Linked DNA regions of Xenopus tropicalis. The protein of the gene in region 4 purifies or fractionates together with the protein of the main gene of each other region. This does not show direct contact. Links are inferred from orthologs where the notes say so. Each region holds a gene or a part of one and is shown on either strand. Other genes may lie near its edges.

What was found. Proteins that work in one complex are often made in the same cells at the same time.
Region 1: the proteins of stx5 (region 4) and sec22b purify together in Homo sapiens (co-immunoprecipitation; 4 studies listed by BioGRID and IntAct, counting the BioPlex papers as one, with this or other methods). This does not show direct contact. The link is inferred for Xenopus tropicalis from reciprocal best matches to the Homo sapiens genes STX5 and SEC22B.
Region 2: the proteins of stx5 (region 4) and napa purify together in Homo sapiens (affinity purification with mass spectrometry; 3 studies listed by BioGRID and IntAct, with this or other methods). This does not show direct contact. The link is inferred for Xenopus tropicalis from reciprocal best matches to the Homo sapiens genes STX5 and NAPA.
Region 3: the proteins of stx5 (region 4) and ykt6 purify together in Homo sapiens (affinity purification with mass spectrometry; 3 studies listed by BioGRID and IntAct, with this or other methods). This does not show direct contact. The link is inferred for Xenopus tropicalis from reciprocal best matches to the Homo sapiens genes STX5 and YKT6.

What each region holds. Positions count from the first base shown.
Region 1 is NC_030680.2:118,087,955-118,093,214, reverse strand, and holds the start of sec22b (vesicle-trafficking protein SEC22b precursor), read left to right. Parts: upstream 1-2,013; 5' UTR 2,014-2,034; coding exon 2,035-2,109; intron 2,110-5,260. UniProt on the Homo sapiens protein: SNARE involved in targeting and fusion of ER-derived transport vesicles with the Golgi complex as well as Golgi-derived retrograde transport vesicles with the ER.
Region 2 is NC_030684.2:79,896,552-79,901,784, forward strand, and holds the start of napa (alpha-soluble NSF attachment protein), read left to right. Parts: upstream 1-1,986; 5' UTR 1,987-2,009; intron 2,010-2,019; exon of another isoform or gene 2,020-2,276; intron 2,277-2,464; 5' UTR 2,465-2,477; coding exon 2,478-2,575; intron 2,576-2,767; coding exon 2,768-2,847; intron 2,848-2,968; coding exon 2,969-3,085; intron 3,086-3,735; coding exon 3,736-3,782; intron 3,783-4,872; coding exon 4,873-4,950; intron 4,951-5,233. UniProt on the Homo sapiens protein: Required for vesicular transport between the endoplasmic reticulum and the Golgi apparatus. Together with GNA12 promotes CDH5 localization to plasma membrane.
Region 3 is NC_030679.2:126,517,665-126,523,068, reverse strand, and holds the start of ykt6 (synaptobrevin homolog YKT6), read left to right. Parts: upstream 1-2,157; 5' UTR 2,158-2,309; intron 2,310-2,469; 5' UTR 2,470-2,474; coding exon 2,475-2,578; intron 2,579-5,404. UniProt on the Homo sapiens protein: Vesicular soluble NSF attachment protein receptor (v-SNARE) mediating vesicle docking and fusion to a specific acceptor cellular compartment. Functions in endoplasmic reticulum to Golgi transport; as part of a SNARE complex composed of GOSR1, GOSR2 and STX5.
Region 4 is NC_030680.2:36,552,488-36,557,823, reverse strand, and holds the start of stx5 (syntaxin-5), read left to right. Parts: upstream 1-1,722; 5' UTR 1,723-1,791; exon of another isoform or gene 1,792-1,814; intron 1,815-5,336. UniProt on the Homo sapiens protein: Mediates endoplasmic reticulum to Golgi transport.

The DNA of each region.
Region 1 (5,260 bases), about 82 Mb from region 4:
GAAATCTCTGATGTAAATATCTAAAACAACTGCTGTAATATGTCCTGTGTGATTGTATCTATCTTTTGCCCCTGGAAAGCTGGGGAGGTAGGTTAAAGCGAAACATCTACGCTACCATAAAACTAGCAATGCCACTTAATATGGCAAGCCTCCACATAAAGTACTGTAACTGACACCAGCAAAGCTGACCATATACATACTGATAAAACCATATATGAAATGATTTTCAGTGTGCGCAGATGGTGGCCCAGTTATGGATGGGTAGGTTTAAAAAACAAAGCAGCTGATGCACCATGGTGTATGGTGCATCAGTAAATGAAGAAGTGGAAATGTCAGGGCTACCATCAGGGGGAGTAATAAAGGTATGAACCTTTAGGCTAAGGACCCATGGAGCGAGTTAGTTGCCAGTGAAAAGGCATTTCGGAGCAGTTAGTCCCCGCAATAGCAGAGATTTGGGCTTCTCTACTAGCCTGAGACAACCACAGTCTTTTGGCAGGGAAGATATGTGCCTCCAAAAATACCCCAGTTGGTCCCCATCTTCTTCTCTGCTGATTCACTGCCCATATTCTGCTGCTGCTGTCAGTTATTGAGCTTAGGGACGATTAGTAATTTATTCAGATTCACATTACATGGCAGCTTTGAAACCAGTGCAATTAGCATCAGAATTTATTAATCAGCCATGTGGCATCAGCGTATATGACAATTAAACCTAATTTTTGGCTTGATAATTTTCAACAACCCCTAAGCTTTGCTTCCCAACAGTTGCCCAGGGCACACTGAGCATATGCAGTGTCACTAACACTCCTAGCAACATCCAAGATGGGAAGCTTCTGTGATAACTGTAAGGACCTGGATAATTATTACTATAGAGATGCTGAAACTTTAGGCTGCTGCATCAAGTTTAGTATGTAAAATTTGGCATTTCTAGCCATATTGATTTTTTGAGTTTAATTCTCCATAAAGAGCTTTATACCTCTTCAGTCATGTCTAATTTAAATAAGTTGTGTATAAGCGGCTATTGTCTGCCTGCTGTATGCTTGTTTATTTGCTGGCTAACAATACCCATGTTTCTTATGTAACAATAAAAAATGTCTATTTTTACTATATATGTTTACCCAGCAACAAGTACACTGGACTCCCCTTATCTTCACAATAGTTCCCTAAAATGTGCTGAATTATTTATTGACTAAACCTAAATGATATATCAAAGCAGAAATATATATTATAAATCAAGTAACTCAATAATGTACTACAGGGGGTTACAATGGTTCTGCAGTCAGGGGTCCCTCTCTTTGCACCCCTTCTATGCACCTAAGCCCTGCCTACTTACCAAATCTGACCCACTTCATCCATTTAAGGCCCCACACATCACAACTTCACCCTCCTGGTACCTACTCAACCCCTTATGTCATTGGCAAATATGGCCAAGAAGTAAAAGTGAACCCTGTCTTTGCACAACATCAAGCATCATTTTTACCAGCCAGGCCAGTAAAACCCTGGGCAGGCGGCAACTGTATGTGCTGAAGGTAGGTGGGCCAGAACATGAACTGAGTTTTAATGGATTAAGGCAAAAAGGGGTAAGATGCCTCATATGCAATTGGGGTGAAGCAGGGCTTCAGTTGCCATTTATGACCTGGCCCATGCAAAACCATTAATTGTTCCAGCAGCAGCTCAGAAATTAGGGGAAACCTTAAAGTATTAAGATGCCAAGATATCACGTCTCTAGAAAAAGATTTCCCTTCTTTTCTTACTCATTATTTTGCCTAGCATCGATTTATAAAAGACAATACTGGCAGATTCCAAATAAAAGATGGCGAATCCACAGCACAAATGCCTAGGCGCCGTAACTTTCATTTTCCTTCCCTAGGAACTTTCGTACCCCGGAACCTTTGTTGAGACAGACAGGGGGGCGGTACTACAGTGTGAACCCTGTCACTGCCAGCGGAGCAGGGGGGTGGAGAGCAACGTTTCCGGCCAGCTCATCCTGATCTCTAGCCCTGTTGTGTGTGTGTGCGTCTGTCTCCCCCGGTCAACATGGTCCTGCTAACGATGATCGCCCGAGTGGCTGACGGACTCCCGCTGGCTGCCTCCATGCAGGAGGACGAACAGGTGAAATGTTCATATACAGGTCAAACATGTCTTCAACTCGAGAGAGCCCACCTGTTGGGGAGTGCATAGTAATAGCTATAGGGAACCAGATGTAGCTGAGGGCATGTTGGAGTGATGTTTAGAAGCAAAACCTTGGGCTACATAGCTCAGGGGCAGTTGTACTGGGGTGTATATTCACTGTATCCATTCAAGCGAGGGTGTTATTGTGCTGGGTGCGTTATTATAAGCAGTGCCCTGCTTGTGTGTGTTTATGCGCTATGGGAATACAGGTAAGCTGTGTATCTGAGTGCTAGCTGTTTGTTTACACTGTGATGAGATATGAATAATGTGTTTGTGTATATGTGTGAGCGTACATTGTATATATAAAGAAGTGTAGTGTATGTGTAGGGTTGACTACTGTATATGCACACACAGGTAGCCTGTCAACTTCATTTTGGGACACCTATAAAATACATTGTTAGACATACATTTCTATCATAACTGGCTGCATTGTCTCTGTTCCGTTGATTGGGCAGGTCTGGCCAGCAAGTATGTACCTGGCTATTATGCACAGCTCCGCTACAGGCACGGCCTATGTAAGCTGTTGTGGGCATATTTATTGTGCCATATAGGTGAGGGATATTTGTATGTATGTATGTATATCTTTATTTATAAAGCGCTACTTATGTACGCAGCGCTGTACAGTAGAATACATTAATACAAACAGGGTGTTAATAAGATAATAATAGATAAATACAAAGTATAACAATAAATAAATACAGCTGCAATAAGTTAAGAGTCGAGGACACAAGAGGAAGGAGGTCCCTGCCCCGTAGAGCTTACAATCTATATTTATAAAGAAAGCAGTGCGGATACATTTAGACCATACAGATGTTAGATATGTATGACTTTAACTGTGTGCGGAATGTAGAGCTGTTTGTGGTTATGTATAGTGACCATACCTGTGTCCATGCAGGTGTGAATTAGCTATTCTATTGTGTGTTTATACTGATTAGCCAGAAAGGTGAAGGCTGTGCGTAGTGTTGTATATTAGTTGTGCCACTATTAATGAACATTATATGTAGTGTTCCATGTATTTAGCCTGTACAGGTGAGGGTTATAGGTAGCTTTGGTTTTGTCCAAAAAGGTGTACATGTGGGACATGCCTAGGTCTATGCTTATGATTTATCGGTGCTTCTATAGAGTGGTGGGAGGGTGTGCATAACTGTGACGGTAAGTACTTAAATAGTACCCTGTGCATGTAGATAAGATGCCTTATTAAAGATTATATCACAGGACTGACCAGCCATAGACCGTATGTGGCCCTCTAAGGGATGTATAAGGTCACAGGTTGTGTTGGCAATCTGAGCAGAAGCTGCCTGATTGTGTCCAAGTGAAAAGGCACTGTTGCACTATTAGTAAAAATAGCCTCTAGACCTTTATCCTTCTGTTCAGGAGGTATGACCACCTCTTCTATGTTGCAAGGCTTGTGCAAGAGTTTCTTAAAAAAGTGTGCGTAAAGTTACGGAGTAGAAAGGTCATAGGGTAGAAGCGCATGGGTTCAGATTGGGAGCATTATTGAATACAGTGCAGCTCTAATTACCCAACAAAACACAGATATTCCAGAGCTACTTATTGATTTGTTGCACTTTTATAGCAACTTGTTTCTGTTCTTCCTTTATCAATGTGCTACAGTAATGTACATGGTGTGTAACTGGAAAAGCTGCTACTGTTCCCTTGTATGCAAAGGACTGTTTGCCATTATTTCAGTGCCTAAGGGTTACTGTATGAGAGGAGGATATGTAGTGCTGTAATTAGCTCCTATGGCAATGCAGGAGCTATACATAAAATGTGTTTACATGAAGATTGAGGATTGTATTGCTGTCTGCAGGTTAGCAAGTGAGCTGTAATTACTGCTCTCCCTCGAGTTATAATGAAACCTTCCCTCATTGGTCTAATTTTCATATAAAGCTCTTTGTGTATCAGGCTAAGGTAAAGTGGAAACCCACAAGGATAGCCACGTAATAAGAACTATACGAGGAGCATAGATACAGAATAATCATGCAAATATAGGAGCAGGCAAAATAAATATATTTACCCATGTGTAATCTGCATAGAATATACCGTTGCTTATTTAGGCACTTACCCCAGGACATCCTGCATGGAACCAGTCCAGAACTTTGCAGTGCCGTTGACATCACACTTTACCCTTTCTCAGTAAACATGTTGGTTGGCAGATTATTATTTGCTGAATGATTTAATGTCAGTGGTTTTTGCCACAATGGGCATCAGGGACCAGTTAGTGAAATGGCGGTTAACACTAAAAATTGTTCATATGCACCTCCCACACCTAATTATATATCTCAGAGGAACAGAGGCTGTTGAGCATGGGGGTTAAATTATAACAGTGAAAGAAATGTGGCCAGAGTAAAACCCCATTCATTAGTGCAACCATCATTCAAAACATTGACTAAAATAATGATGTGCACCTAAATAGTCATATACATAGTCATATGACTGGTCAGTAAATATTAATTACTGGTCATATCATAATTTGAAGATATGGGTTAAGTACACAAGGAGAAGGGCTTTAAAGGGCAATTAGCAAATGGTCTTCATTTTTTATGGTTTTTCAGTTATTTATTTTTGTGTTCAGCAGCTCTCCATTTTATAGCGGCTACCTGGTTGCTAGGGTATTTTTTACCCTAGTAACTTGGCAGTGGTAGAGGGCCTGCACAGAAAGATGAGTAATAAAAATGTACCCTCACTGGGCAATAGTTTTTGGCTGCCGGCGTTAGTGACCCCCATTTGAAAGTTGGAAAGTGGCAGCAGAGAAAAGCAAATAATTAAAAACTTAAAAAAATGAATAGTGAAAACCAGTTGTAAGGATTAGGGCATTCAATAACATACTAAAAGTTATCGTAAAGGTGAAGGAATTAATAATAAGGCTAAAGCCTGAGGTAGAACCTTGTGCCGATTATAAGGCAACAGGCAAGTAAATTGCAGGACTGTTACATCCAAGTTTAGTACTTAAAGATCATTGCTTCATTTTATAGATTGGGGTGATACCTTAATAATTATTAAAAAATATCAATATTTTTGTTACAGGGTACTGTGAAAAAAAGCAAATATACTTAATGATTTCCTCCCCTCTTCTCTATAAACTATTAAG
Region 2 (5,233 bases), on a different chromosome or scaffold from region 4:
AGTTTGCGCCAGAAAAAAAACCGGGATGGATGAACGACTTATTTTCCCATAGCATTTTTAAATGGCTGCTTCTGTTTAAAAAGCAGGGGGTTGACCACAATAGAAGGCCATGATACACAGTATCTGGAAGAAATAAGTCTAAAGCAACTTCTGAGTACTCTTATAAACGTTTCACCACTCAACCAAGTGGCTTCTTAATTTCAGCCGACAGGTAGGGAATTACCTGGCATTTAAACTCTTAATGGAAATACAGTCACCAACATCCATCGAACTATTCAGATGCAAAAATGTGATCCAGTCACGATAATTCTCATTGAGGCAGGTGTAAATTCTTCAATGTACTTGACTGGAATGTTCAAGTTTGCATTCTTGAGAGAAAAACCACCAATGCCATTGGTAGGCAGTCATAGGTCCCAACTGTCCCGCTTTACGCGGGACAGTCCTGGTTTTTGCCTACTGTCCCGGATACTTATCAAAATGTCCCGCGGTGCCTTTAAGAGTCCCGCTCGTCTGCAGGTCTTCTCGGCTCATTCCGTCACCGCTATCTACGGATCTTCACGGCTTCTTCCGCGCGTTTGTCTTCGGCTCTTTCCGGCTCCTTCAGGTGCTTCGCCATCTCGGTCCTTTTTGTGGTTGTCTGCAAGTCTCGCGAGATGTGAGTATGGCTGAGCAAGCCATTTCACTTAAAATTCAGAACGAACAGGATGGGTGCTAGTGCTGCTCAGGCTGTGGGTCACAAAAGTTACGCTGGTGCTGCTGTGCCTTTATCTACTACTATACAAGCTCTACTTACTGCTCCTTTTTTAAAAAAAATAAGCTTGGTGAGTCCCTGACTGTAACAAAGGTGTTTATTAATAATGAATATTAATTATTTATTAAGAATTAATAAACACTTGTTACAGTCAGGGACTCACCAAGCTTATTTTTTTTAAAAAAGGAGCAGTAAGTAGAGCTTGTACAGTAGTAGATAAAGGCACAGCAGCACCAGCGTAACTTTTGTGACCCACGACCTGAGCAGCACCAGCACCCACAACAAATAAAAAAGTGCAGGAAGAAGCTGTGAAGATCCAAAGACAGCAGTGACAGAAGGAGCCAAGGAAACCCAAAGGAAGACAAAAAGACCTGAAGACGAGCAGGACACTTAAAAGACACAGCAGGACATTTCAGTAAGTATCTGGGACAGCGGGACAATGTGCAAAAATGGGACATCTGGGGGTGTGGCCATATAGTGGGCGTGGTCAAGAAAAATTTCGCCGCGCTTAGCGCTGCAAAATATTTTGTCCCTCTTTTTCATTTTCAAATGTTGGGAGGTATGAGCAGTTTATATTAAACTCATTGCCAGGCACGTTAAGCAGTTTGGGTTATTCTTTACTGCCTTTCCTTAACTTGGCCTTCAGGTCATTAGTAAAGTATATAGTTGGTGGTGCACCAATAAGCAAAAAAAACTGTTTCCTGGACCTTTAACCTCTACCGCATTTATGCTTAGAGAGCAGAGAATGGTAACATGGAGTTACTGTAATAAGCAGTATTAGCTGAATCAGAACAAAGGCTGCCCCCTTACTAATAATGTTAACGCCAGGGTAGTAAAAATGATGCCTCGTTCCAAACATTGCCAATAGCGAGGCAAAAAGCTAAAAACAAACAAACCCGGAAGACCACTGTTTTTTTTAATATGAAATGCAACACTACACGAAGATAAGGACAACTAAAACATAAAAAAGATCATATGTAAAAAAATGATAATGTAATAGAAAACAACGCACTACAGTCTGTATTATTTTTAAAAAGGAGTACACATCTTTCCCTTTAAATGCCGCTCAGAAAAAGCCTAACTACATCTTCTGACTGTGTCTAGGCGGATGTGAATGCTAACGTTTGGTCACGTGGCACGGATATTGGCGGAAACAGAATAATCATGTGTTCTGCGGGCGGAAGTTTTGCTGTCACTGAAGCATAGCTGCTGATCCGGAGAAATACTAAGCGCAGTCATTATTTGCCTGCAAAATCAGGTCAGCGTCCCGCACACTGTTACAATTCTTTCCCTTCTGCTTGCCCTATTCTTCTGCTCTCTGATTCCCGATTATCTCCCTCGGCCGTCTCTCGGTTCAAGGGTTTTTGATCCCTGGCCTCTGCCTCCTGTTTGTCTCTATCCGCGAGTATCCTCGTATTACTAGCTCGTCGGCTTTCTACGAGGCCTTTCACTCATTTGCAGAGCTTTTTCTTGGCTGCCTGCCTCCTAGTTCTGGTTAGCGCTCTGAATCGGCTAACATCTTGCGGTAATAGAAAAACTTTAATAGATTAACTACTTTCCTAAAATGTAATTCCAGGCCCATGTTACAATGGCTGATTCTATGGTCTCTGATCTAATACCGGGGAATTTTTCTGAATTTATAGATATTTTCTTTTTTATAATTTATATTGGCATCTATTTTCCATATTTTCTGATTGTTATTATCATTGACAGGCCCCATTCAACCATGGATAACTCTGGGAAGGAGAAGGAGGCTCTGCAGCTTCTGGCTGAGGCTGACAAGAAGGTGAAGTCATCGCAGTCATTCTTTTCAGGGCTGTTTGGGTAAGTGAATTAGAAATAATTACATGGTAACAGGGCAAAATCTGTTTCTGACCAAAAGCATTGAACTGTCACTAGTGTTAGTAATATTAAGCATTTACAACGCTGTAGCTGTCACTACACAAAGCATTTTACATTTTGTTAATCTTATAACTTGAATAGTGTGTAATCTTTGTCTGTTTGTCTGCATTTAAGAGGCTCCTCTAAAATGGAAGAAGCATGCGACCTCTATGCCAGGGCTGCCAACATGTTTAAGATGGCCAAGAACTGGAGTGGTAGGTAGTATGTAATCTGTAAAATCATTTGTAACAAACTTTCCATATATCCATATATAGGTATATAGATATTTATACTCCTCGGAATAGTGCAATAAGATGCTCTTCTTCTTTTTCCCAGCTGCTGGCAATGCCTTCTGCCAGGCTGCCCAGATCCATCTTCAGGTTCAAAGCAAGCATGATGCAGCCACTAACTTTGTGGATGCTGGAAATGCATTCAAGAAATCTGACCCCCAGGGTAAGAGAGGTCCTAGTTGTCTCTTGAATGAGTCTTTTTTTTTTTCAAAGTTATCTATCAATAACTGTTTGTACCAGCACCCAGTGTTCCCCTTTGATTTGTTTTCGGTCATATGCACAAAGATAACATATTTATATCAGTTATGTGCACAGAAATGTGGGTTGTTGTAATAACTAAGTGTAAATAAGTGTTTTGCACAAAAGTGTTTTTTGTCTATTGTGGCAATACCCCCACAATGATAGCTCCAAGAAGAATAAAATGCAGAGACCCCCCTCCTCCCCCGTCTTGATGCTCCTGAATACAGTGCTCCTCACCTGTAACTGTTAATAATAGACAAAATAGACCGGTGTGATTTGCAGCATTTTTTTACTATCAAAGCAATCCTAGCACTGGTCGCCAAATGCAAACAGGCACATTTCAAGCTGATCTGATATTGTCTTGACCAGAGAATGCCATGCACAGCCAGGCACATGAATATATTCTTATATATTCATCTTGAATATGAAATGCCAGGTGATTTTAGGCCTTATTTTATTAGAGGTATTTTATTAAATGAAATAAAGGCTTTTCTGCAAGAATACATAAAGCAATGCTTAACTTTTTCAATAATAACTTTGATAAATGATCACAAGTATCTATATTGTTTTCAGAGGCAATTAACTGTCTGCTTCGAGCAATAGAGATCTACACTGACATGGTAAGGACAATTTCAAACTATCTTCCGCTTTTTTTTGGTCTTTATCACTTCTTAAGTTGACCACAAACAGAGTGACAATGCGAATATGGCTAAAAGAACGCAAGATGTTTAGTAAGATATTTGTTGACTAAGGATCAAGGTGTGTTTAAATGCAGTTTGTAGAGAATGATACATATGTGTTTGGGAAATGGGCAATAGAATTGTTATGGAAACAAGTGGGTTTTTTTTTAGTCAGAAAGTAGCAGGGAACAAAAAAAATGCTCTTCTAATGAATGTTCGGATATCGATCATACGTTTAAATGCAACGATCTAAAACTAACATTCAGACTGAAATTGTAGGATAAAGCTCTAAAAATAAATTGGAGGATGTTCTGAACATGAAATAGTAGGCAGACATCAATAATGCAAAAGTGAGGGCAGGCAGTACCCTTCTGAACAAACTCTATGCCAGGTGGCAACAGGATCTCCCCCACATTACACTTGAACTGTGGGAGGAGGTGTTGGAGTCAACCTTTGATGCTGTAATTAGGGATACACCCCACCGTTACAAATATTAAACCAGGAGCTCCCACAAGAGTGCCCCAGATGTCGTTTTTCACCATCTGACTTTATCCAGCTGTTGTGGCCTGTGTGCAGCACTTCTGGGAGGAAGTGGCAAAATATATACCCGGTAGAATGGATATCTGGTATATGCTCAGTCAGGTTCAAGAGCTGTCCCCCCTCATAGAGAAAAAAAAAATGTAAATGTCCATTTTATGTATGTATGCAAAAAAAAAAAAAAAAAAACCCACAGAAAAATTGCACAATTCTTAAAGACACCTGGTGGGCCAACTGTGGCAGCATGAGAAGCTATGGTGGAGGGAGCCATTCCCCTGTATCCCCTGCATAGGCGGTCCTCAAAGATTTGATGTTTGTTGTTGGGTTTTATGTTGAATTTTCTTGTTTATGTTTAGGTTTATTGTAAAATGAGCATCCTATTCATCTGGTTTTTTTTATGATGTTGCACCATGTACTTTTCAAATGCTTAATAAGAGCATAAAAAAACAATCAAAAAAAAAAAAAAAAAAACCTTGTGTTTTTTTTCATGTAGGGAAGATTCACCATTGCCGCCAAACATCACATTTCCATAGCAGAGATCTACGAGTCAGAGCTGGTTGACATAGAGAAGGTGAGTTATTTTCTCTCTCAGATATAATCTTTCTCTTCTTCCATTTCTTCATATGCTCTCTCTCTCTCCCTCTTTCACGACAATTATCCTTTATGGTCTCTTAAAATGCTGGTTGCACAGAGATATGGGAGGGTTCAAATAAGTGTAAAACTAAGTGAACAATGTTTGTCCATGCAGTGACCTCAATATTTGTGTGTGCGAATAAGTGCTTGGCTTACAGGGAACTTTGTCCTAGATCTTTTATTGTTCCTCTGGGTCATCAGTTTTGTCTGCCTGCTTTTAG
Region 3 (5,404 bases), on a different chromosome or scaffold from region 4:
AACCTGTTTGGTTTGGGGGTTCTGCAAATGTTTATTTAACTGTCATTATTCAAACATTCTCTCTATACATTATATACACACTCACACAGTATATTTAGAATATATATGTACTTGAACAAAAACAATACATAACAGCAGTTCCCTTTAGGGCCAAGACACACGGAGCTACTTAGTAGCAGCTACTAAAGGCCAGAAAATTCCCTGCCATAGACAGTACTTTTCATTGCCCCTTGTTCAATATAAAGTGACCAACGACAGAGACTGAGAGGCCATTTTGTACATGGCATACAACCCACTAAGATTAAGGAGACACTAGGAGACGCAGCCCCCGGAATGAACATTATGCTGTATGGCACCAGATTAGGGATTTTATCACTTATAGTAATATGTTCATTTCTGCTTTGGGATGCATTGCCCTTTAAAGGGGTGGCTCAATTTAGCTTTTAGTATGTTTTATAGATTGACCAGTTCTAAGCAACTTTTCATTTGGACTTCATATAAATTTTGAATTATTTTCAATTTGAATTACTTCTTGCAGCTTTCAAATGGGGGTCGGTGACCGCGGCAGCCAAAAGCTTTCCTCTGTGAAGCTACAGTGTTATTGTTACTTTTGATAACTTTTTATTTCTATTCAGTCCCTCTCCTAGTCATATATCAGTCTCTCATTCAAGCCCCTCCCTGGTTGCTAAGGTAATTTGGACCTTAGTAACCCAATAGCTGTTCTAACACCAAACTGGAGAGCTGCTGAACAATTATTGAAGTTATTTAAAACTACAAATAATGAAAAAATGAAGACCAATTGGAAATTGTCTCTGAATATTACTCTCTACATCATACTAAATGTTAACTCAGTGAACAGCCCCTTTAAAAGGGATACAAGGAGAACATGCTCTGTCCCTGCTGGGCCCAGCCCAGCAAGTTTTTCCCTTTAAATACAGGATACCTATTTAGTACATCTGCTCATATCTTGGCCATGGGATATTTGGCTTGATAAATGAGGCCTCCTATATCCGAGTGCAGCCCACACTGGTTTCCATGCAGCCATGCAGTATGTATTCGCTATGCATGTGGGTAACAAAGTACTTTTTTGTAAGAAGTTTCTATTCTGTGGCTTTGGTACTGGGACCTCTCCGCTACAGGAAGGCTCATTAATCAAAGCCAAACGGCAGAAAAAGTCCCATGACCATGAAAGGGAAAAGAAAACCACTGATAATGTCTCCCAAATGGTTCCCACAGGGTATAGAGCAGCTGTACCACTTTGTAGGAAACCTCCATATTTGTCCTTCCTATGGTACAATACCCTCTGCTACAAATATATACTTATTATAGATCTTTTTAAATGATCTTTCTTTATTGATTTTACATTTAAAGTGTGGGGGGGGGCACTGTATATACAGTAACAGTTTCTTTCTTATCTTACAGGGTATATAACAACATACCTCCCAACATTTTATTAAGAGAAAGAGGGACAAAAATATGTGACTCAGGTAGTGTGGCAAAAAAAAAATTTGGCCACGCCTGCTTTGTGACCACGCCCCACGTGCCACACCCACTTTACATGGCCCAGATGTGCCAGTATAATCACTAAATAAAAAGAATAAAGGACATATTAACTTCAAACATGCCAGTATGACTACATTAAATTGATAAAGGGCATATTAACCCCAGACATGCCAGTAAAATTACCAATCAACTTCAGACATGCCAAAAGTTCTGTGCATTTTCCAAAGTTATAAATATGGAGGAGATCCAGACGCAGGCTGAAATTGGGAAAATAAACTCCAATGGCTGCAGGGGCAGTTGGTAACCATGGAAGCCTTTTTTCTTGCGAACCTTTAGCATAAAACATAAATGACTTTTATTGGGACTGAAATGGCGAATGGCATAACGAGAAACCAACAACAAAGATAAGTGTTCACTCAGAGAAACAGAAAGCGCAAGCACAACAACATGCGATTTTGAGAGAAGCCGCCACGATTAACCAGCAGCTTCCGACTATGTAACACTGAGTTACGCCGGCTCGCCACGCCCATCGGGCGGCAACGTGTTGCGTCACTGCGCTTACGTGTAGTGGTGATGAGACTTGTGGCGTTGGGATTTCCTGTAAGACTGGAGGAGGGTTGGAGGCTGCAGTTAACAGTTTTGCGGGACCTGTAAGTAGCGACCCGGGACTGTTGGGCTGTTGGGAAAAGCGGGACTTGGTGCTATTATTAAGGCTGTGTAGGGGAGACGACACGCAGGCACTTCAGCATCCAACACCCCTCCCGAAGTCTACATCTCACTGACAGCAGGGGGGCCCTGTGAGCCAAGTAAGTGCAGCACAGCCGGCCCACCTAGAGACCCACAACCCATCGGGCCCAGGACTGCTGTCCCCCGCTCATGGCTGCCCTGCCTAGCACTGATGTGTGTGCTCATCTGTCCTTGTTATATGGAACCATTTACCCCAATCCTCCCCTCTCTCTCTTGCAGCCACCATGAAGCTTTACAGTCTCAGTGTTCTATATAAGGGAGATAACAAGGTCAGTCTTCTGAAAAGTGCCTATGATGTCTCCTCCTTCAGCTTCTTCCAGAGATCCAGGTATGATGGGTGCCCACCCTATGCTCACAGTATAATATATATGCAGTGGTTACCAAGCTGGGTGCCCCCTATGCTCACAGTATAATATATATGCAGTGGTTACCATGCTGGGTGCCCCCTATGCTCACAGTATAATATATGCAGTGGTTACCAAGCTGGGTGCCCACCCTATGCTCACAGTATAATATATATGCAGTGGTTACCAAGCTGGGTGCCCACCCTATGCTCACAGTATAATATATATGCAGTGGTTACCAAGCTGGGTGCCCACCCTATGCTCACAGTATAATATATATGCAGTGGTTACCAAGCTGGGTGCCACCCTATGCTCACAGTATAATATATATGCAGTGGTTACCAAGCTGAGTGCCCACCCTATGCTCACAGTATAATATATATGCAGTGGTTACCATGCTGGGTGCCCCCTATGCTCACAGTATAATATATATGCAGTGGTTACCAAGCTGGGTGCCCCCTATGCTCACAGTATAATATATATGCAGTGGTTACCAAGCTGGGTGCCACCCTATGCTCACAGTATAATATATATGCAGTGGTTACCAAGCTGGGTGCCCACCCTATGCTCACAGTATAATATATATGCAATGGTTACCAAGCTGGGTGCCCCCCTATGCTCACAGTATAATATATATGCAATGGTTACCAAGCTGGGTGCCCCCTATGCTCACAGTATAATATATATGCAGTGGTTACCAAGCTGGGTGCCACCCTATGCTCACAGTATAATATATATGCAGTGGTTACCAAGCTGGGTGCCCCCTATGCTCACAGTATAATATGTATGCAGTGGTTACCAAGCTGGGTGCCACCCTATGCTCACAGTATAATATATATGCAGTGGTTACCAAGCTGGGTGCCCACCCTATGCTCACAGTATAATATATATGCAATGGTTACCAAGCTGGGTGCCACCCTATGCTCACAGTATAATATATATGCAGTGGTTACCATGCTGGGTGCCCCCTATGCTCACAGTATAATATATATGCAGTGGTTACCAAGCTGGGTGCCCCCTATGCTCACAGTATAATATATATGCAGTGGTTACCAAGCTGGGTGCCCACCCTATGCTTACAGTATAATATATATGCAGTGGTTACCAAGCTGGGTGCCCACCCTATGCTCACAGTATAATATATATGCAGTGGTTACCAAGCTGGGTGCCCCCTATGCTCACAGTATAATATATATGCAGTGGTTACCAAGCTGGGTACCCACCCTACGCTCACAACATCATATATATGTAGTGGTTCCTATTCAGGTGCCTTGACATTCCTACATCAGATGGGGAGCATGCATACATATAATTCAGCCCTTGCCTGGACTGTGAACTCTGGGGGTCATTTATGAACACTTGGCAGGTTTGCACCTGGGCATTAGCCCATGGGAACCAATCAAAAGTTTGCTTTTTATTGTTCTACCTTCAGCTAGCTGTAACATTTGCCCAGTGTTTATACATGAGTTCCTTTGTTTTTTAGGTGCATGTTGGACTTTCTTGGCCCACACTGCCTGCAAGAAATTAGAGGGTATACTGATTATACCAAGAATGTTTGCTTACAGTCTTAGAGACTCTTTATTTGAGAGGGCAGGCTATTCACAAAGTTGTATAAAATGTGGTAGTAACCTATAGCAACTAGCCAGAATGTTTCTTTTTTCAGTCTTGTTGCAGCTGGATCTTGGCTAGTTGCTATGGGTTCATATATGTCAGCTCGTATGCCACCCTACTTTGGTCCTCATCACCTAGTCAACCACAATCTCGCACTCCCCAAAGTATGCATCCAAGTTAATGTTTACCCCCTGAAATGGAAAATATATAAAACCCACCTGAAATTACCTTAGATACAAGCAGCATTGGGCAGAGCTGGGAGCGCAATGTGGGGGCAGCACTTCTGAAAAAAGGGGGCCTGCTAGTAAGACATACCTGTGTGTTTCTTGCTCCACAGTACATATTGCCTCATTAAGCCATGCATCTATTCATACATCTATTCCAACAAATGCGTCAAAGTTATTATAATGTACTGTTGCCCTGCAGTGGTAAAAGTTGTGTGTTTGTTTCAGAAACACTACTACAGTTTGTATAAACAAAGCTGCTGTGTAGTCATGGAGGCTGCCATTCCAATTATAATAGGGCTAAGTGGCATAGGTTACTTAGCAGATAACGGATAAGCTCTGTAAAACACCACTGTATTCTACAGAGCTTGTCTGCCATCTTCTGTGTAACCTGTGCCTTTTTTTTCCAGCTTAAATATCTACCCGTGGCTACACAGCAGCTTATTTATTTAACCTAAAGTAATGAGGCAAACACAAAATGTTTTCCAGTGCAGGGCAATGCTAAATGATATTTTAATTAACTTAAAACACTTTAATTTTTGGTGTTACTGTTCCTATAAATTAAAGTCAATAGATGAGCTTAAATATGTACTCAGCTGAGCAACCAATAGGGGGCTCCAATTCATATAAAAACATTCAGGGATGAAAATATGGTTGGCTGGGCTTAGTAACCAGAGCTAATGCAATATGTAATTCACTTATAGAGAGTCAGAACTTATAATGTCACAAGGTGTCTATCTCTTTATTAGACTGCCTTTCATATGGTAGCCATGGTCGAGCAAATAGATCTCTTATTGATTCAGAGGATGGAGAATGAAACCTTCCAGAGCTGATTCCAACTGACTGCAAATAAAGAGAGAGCATTCCTTTCTGCCTCTAGCCGTGCTATTCCCCGGTTCTGTTTTGTACCAATATATACTTAACTTGTAATGAATTCCACAAACTTTCTTGAAGCTATCTAATGTATCTGCCATT
Region 4 (5,336 bases):
CAACTCACTGTTAACCCTGAAGTGTGAAAAACAAGCACATATATGTCCATAGACGTGATGAAAACCTTGTATATATAAAAACATATAAAGAGCACCCACCCGGGTGCTTATCAATTATAAAAAACTGTACCCTCCAAACCACACATCATTTAGGTAAGCTTAGGTGTTGTATTAGTAACAATAATGATGATAGTAGTAATAATAATAGTAACAATAGATCAAAAAAGTCACATGTATTAAATATTGTTACAAGTTGTTTCTAAGTTGTATATATATGATTATATGTCCAATTGTCAGACCACAATACTAAACTAAAAGTATACATATAAACATACTGCTTCCAAAAATATTAATCAATTATATAGCGGTGTGGTCACATGATTATCAGTAGAAACAGGATAATTCCCATCATCTATTGAGGCCCCCATATTGCTCTGTTGTTTTCAACCGATATATCCAAAAGACCTCTCTCTCTGAAAGTTTCTTATCTATATCACCTCCCCTAACACTTATACTAGGTCTATCAATAATCTGAAAGGTCACATGATTACTACTTTCATGTCTCTCTATTATATGTTTTGCTATCGCTGATCTCGTGTCCTTTCTCTCTACGGCTGATAAGTGTTCCAGAATCCTAGTTCCAACCTTACGAATGGTTTTCCCCACATACTGAGCACCACACTCACATGTGGCTAGGTAAATGACCCCTTTGGATTGGCAGTTGAAATATTGGGGAATGGTGAAAGTAGCCAGCAGGAAGTGGAACAGATGGGCAGGACTAGTGGGGTTTTGGTGGAATTTCTCAATAAATCTCAGTCAGAAACACTACTTTTTTTAAGCACAATCCTTCTATATCTAGAGGAGTATAATTCACTGGTACATTCTTAATTTTTATAGGATATGTCTCCTTTAACGTCACAATCATGCATCACTTATACAATCAAGCAGGACTTTGAGTCTTTATGTTTTATAGGCTCCAGTACTCCAGTCCAGTTTTATGTTTTTTTCAAGGCCCCACCCTTAGGTCAATGCAACCTTGCAAATATGATACTGGTGTTATCTTACCCTTGTAACTGGTTCAGGTCCTTCCCAGCTGGTGTATTACAAGTAATAGCATTAATGGCAAAGTCACACAGGGCACTTTGTCACCAATGGTAAATCTGCGCTACAATGGGCGACAAAACGTCCCTAGCTTCCTTCTTGTTGGAAGTACTGGGAACACATATGCATCACTTCTGCTTCCAAAGTTGTCTCAGGGCAAAGGCACATGGGACATTTGTTGTCCACCGTAAATCTGCACAGCCCCTTTACAAAGCAGCTCCAGGTTACTTCACAATGCATGTTTTCTCACTAGCAATTCACATTACTGCTGGTGGCAAGAAAACTAGGTATGTTCTTCCATCTGAGGTAGCACAGATTTACCAAGTCAATTGAATAACCTAAAGCCATATGGTACTCTGCTGAAAGTAGAATTTATTTGCCCATTAATATCCACTTTAGAATGCTAGGATAGATTAACAAGGTCATGACATTAATTACATGGTTGTAAGGCCACTTAGAGTTAGCTAAAAAGAAACGCCATTCCACAATAACGCCTACGTATTACTATAGGCAACCTTTCCACTACTAATACGCACACTTCCGGGTTAGAAACACACCTCCGGACTGACGCACTCAGAGTGCGACTCGCGAAGTACAGGAGCCGGTGACGTGTGTGTACGTGGCGCTGACGTCAGCATTTTCCCCGGCAGAAACAGAAAGAGAGAGGGAGTAAGAGAGAAGCGGTGACCGGTGAGATTTACTGTAAGGGGGAGGTGTGTTTGTTTCTGTTCCTATAATGTGAGGGCGCGGGGTCCAGTAAGGGGCTCCTTGGGCTCATAGTTTGTTGCCCACATTCTGTGGGAGGGTTTGATTTTGGGGGCTTGCCTTCCGTGACGTCATGCCTGTGGGGGGGTCTAATGACACTAAAGGTGATAATCACTACACTGGGTGAGAATTGATGTTAAGATAATCTTGAGTACGCCGCATACCTACTAACCTGGCTGTCTGACTGGCCATGGCTGTGACTACCTGGCTGTCTGACTGGCCATGGCTGTGACTAGCTGGCTGTCTGACTGGCCATGGCTGTGACTAGCTGGCTGTCTGACTGGCCATGGCTGTGACTACCTGGCTGTCTGACTGGCCATGGCTGTGACTAGCTGGCTGTCTGACTGGCCATGGCTGTGACTAGCTGGCTGTCTGACTGGCCATGGCTGTGACTACCTGGCTGCCCGTCTGGCCATGGCTGTGACTACCTGGCTGTCTGACTGGCCATGGCTGTGACTACCTGGCTGTCTGACTGGCCATGGCTGTGACTACCTGGCTGTCTGCCTGGCCATGGCTGTAGCTGCCCGTCTGGCCATGGCTGTGACTACCTGGCTGTCTGACTGGCCATGGCTGTGACTACCTGGCTGTCTGACTGGCCATGGCTGTGACTACCTGGCTGTCTGATTGGCCATGGCTGTGACTACCTGGCTGTCTGACTGGCCATGGCTGTGACTACCTGGCTGTCTGACTGGCCATGGCTGTAGCTGCCCGTCTGGCCATGGCTGTGACTACCTGGCTGTCTGACTGGCCATGGCTGTGACTACCTGGCTGTCTGACTGGCCATGGCTGTGACTACCTGGCTGTCTGACTGGCCATGGCTGTGACTACCTGGCTGTCTGACTGGCCATGGCTGTAGCTGCCCGTCTGGCCATGGCTGTGACTACCTGGCTGTCTGACTGGCCATGGCTGTGACTACCTGGCTGTCTGATTGGCCATGGCTGTGACTACCTGGCTGTCTGATTGGCCATGGCTGTGACTACCTGGCTGTCTGATTGGCCATGGCTGTGACTACCTGGCTGTCTGACTGACCATGGCTGTGACTACCTGGCTGTCTGATTGGCCATGGCTGTGACTACCTGGCTGTCTGATTGGCCATGGCTGTGGCTACCTGGCTGTCTGACTGACCATGGCTGTAACAACTTGGCTGTCTGTCTGACTGGCCATGGTTGTAACTACTTGGCTGTCTGACTTCCCATGGCTGTAACTAACTGCATGTCTTGCTGGCCATGGTTGTAACTATTGGCTTGCTGGCCATGGTTGTAACTATTGGCTTGCTGGCCATGATTGTAACTTCATGCCTGTCTGACTGGCCATGGCTGTAACTACCTGGCTGTCTGACTGGCCATAGCTGTAACTACCTGGCTGTCTGATTGGCCATGGCTGTAACTACCTGGCTGTCTGATTGGCCATGGTTGTAACTTCATGCCTGTCTGACTGGCCATGGCTGTAACTACCTGGCTGTGTGACTGGCCATAGCTGTGACTACCTGGCTGTGACTACCTGGCTGTGTGACTGGCCATAGCTGTGACTACCTGGCTGTCTGACTGGCCATGGCTGTGACTACCTGGCTGTCTGACTGGCCATGGCTGTGACTACCTGGCTGTCTGACTGGCCATGGCTGTGACTACTTGGCTGTCTGACTGGCCATGGCTGTGACTACCTGGCTGTCTGACTGGCCATGGCTGTGACTACCTGGCTGTCTGACTGGCCATGGCTGTGACTACCTGGCTGTCTGACTGGCCATGGCTGTGACTACCTGGCTGTCTGACTGGCCATGGCTGTGACTACCTGGCTGCCCGTCTGGCCATGGCTGTAACTACCTGGCTGTCTGACTGGCCATGGCTGTAGCTACCTGGCTGTCTGACTGGCCATGGCTGTAGCTACCTGGCTGTCTGACTGGCCATGGCTGTAGCTACCTGGCTGTCTGACTGGCCATGGCTGTAGCTACCTGGCTGTCTGACTGGCCATGGCTGTAGCTACGTGGCTGTCTGACTGACCAAGGCTGTAACTACCTGGCTGTCTGACTCGCCAAGTCTGTAACTACTTGGCTGTCTGACTGGCCAAGGCTGTAACTACCTGGCTGTCTGACCATGGCTGTAACTACTTGGCTGTCTGACTTCCCATGGCTGTAACTAACTGCATGTCTTGCTGGCCATTGCTGTAACTATTGGCTTGCTGGCCATGGTTGTAACTTCATGCCTGTCTGACTGGCCATGGCTGTAACTACCTGGCTGTCTGACTGGCCATAGCTGTAACTACCTGGCTGTAACTGACTGGCCATGGCTGTAACTACCTGGCTGTCTGATTGGCCATGGCTGTAACTACCTGGCTGTAAGTGACTGGCCATGGCTGTAACTAACTGCCTGACTGGCCATGGCTGTAACTAACTGCCTGACTGGCCATGGTTGTGACTTCATGCCTGTCTGGCCGTGGTTGCAACTACCTGGCTGCCTGACGGGCCATGGTTGCAACTACCTGGCTGCCTGACGGGCCATGGTTGCAACTACCTGGCTGCCTGACGGGCCATGGTTGCAACTACCTGGCTGTCTTGTTGCCTATGGCTGTAACTACCTGTCTGTCTCTCTGGCTGGCCATGGCTCTAATAATAAATGGTCACTCCACAGAAACCAACTTATTGGGCAATTATTACATTACCTGCCTTGGCAAGTGGGGCCCAGATTTTTCTGCATTAAAAAGTAAGAAAGCATTGCTGTTGGCCCCATTGGGGTACTATTTGGTGGGCCTCCTTCAGAACGCTTCTCCCCAAAGGAGGTGCTAAGTACTTTATGTTTTGTACATGATAAATGTCCAGCCTGCTTGGTCATACATGGGCAGATAACATAACACATACAAAGCATAACATCATGTCTGAGATCAAGACTGGAGTTTTACATAAAAATGTATTCTGATGCATGTAATGCAGTCAATGCTGTATGCCAATATTCTTAAGAGCATCCCTTGGTTTCTTTTTATTGGACTACTGAAAATCAAAGTAATTAAAATGTAATGTATTGTTGTGCATTTGCTTCAGAAACTCTACTATAGTTTATATAAACAAAGCTGTTGTGTAGCTATGGGGGCAGCCATTTAAACTGAAATAGGGCTAAATGGTACAGTTTACATATCCGGTAATAGATAAGCACTGTAAAACATCATTGTATTCTACAGAGCTTATCTGTTATCTGCAATGTAACCTGTGCCTTTTCTCCTTTTTTCTTGCTGGAATAGCTACCTCCATGGCTATACAGAAACTTTATTTATATGAACTATAGTAACCTCTCTGAAGCAAACACACAGCATCTTGGGGCAAAAGTATATTACATTTTATTACCTTAAAACACTTTCATTTTTTAATGTTACTTTAATGGTTTCCATTACCTTGTTATGCTTATTCTCTTTTCACTTATTCCTGACTGCATTAGTGTACATACCACATGTTTGTGCGCTGTCTGTTTTAGCTCTTGGCACTC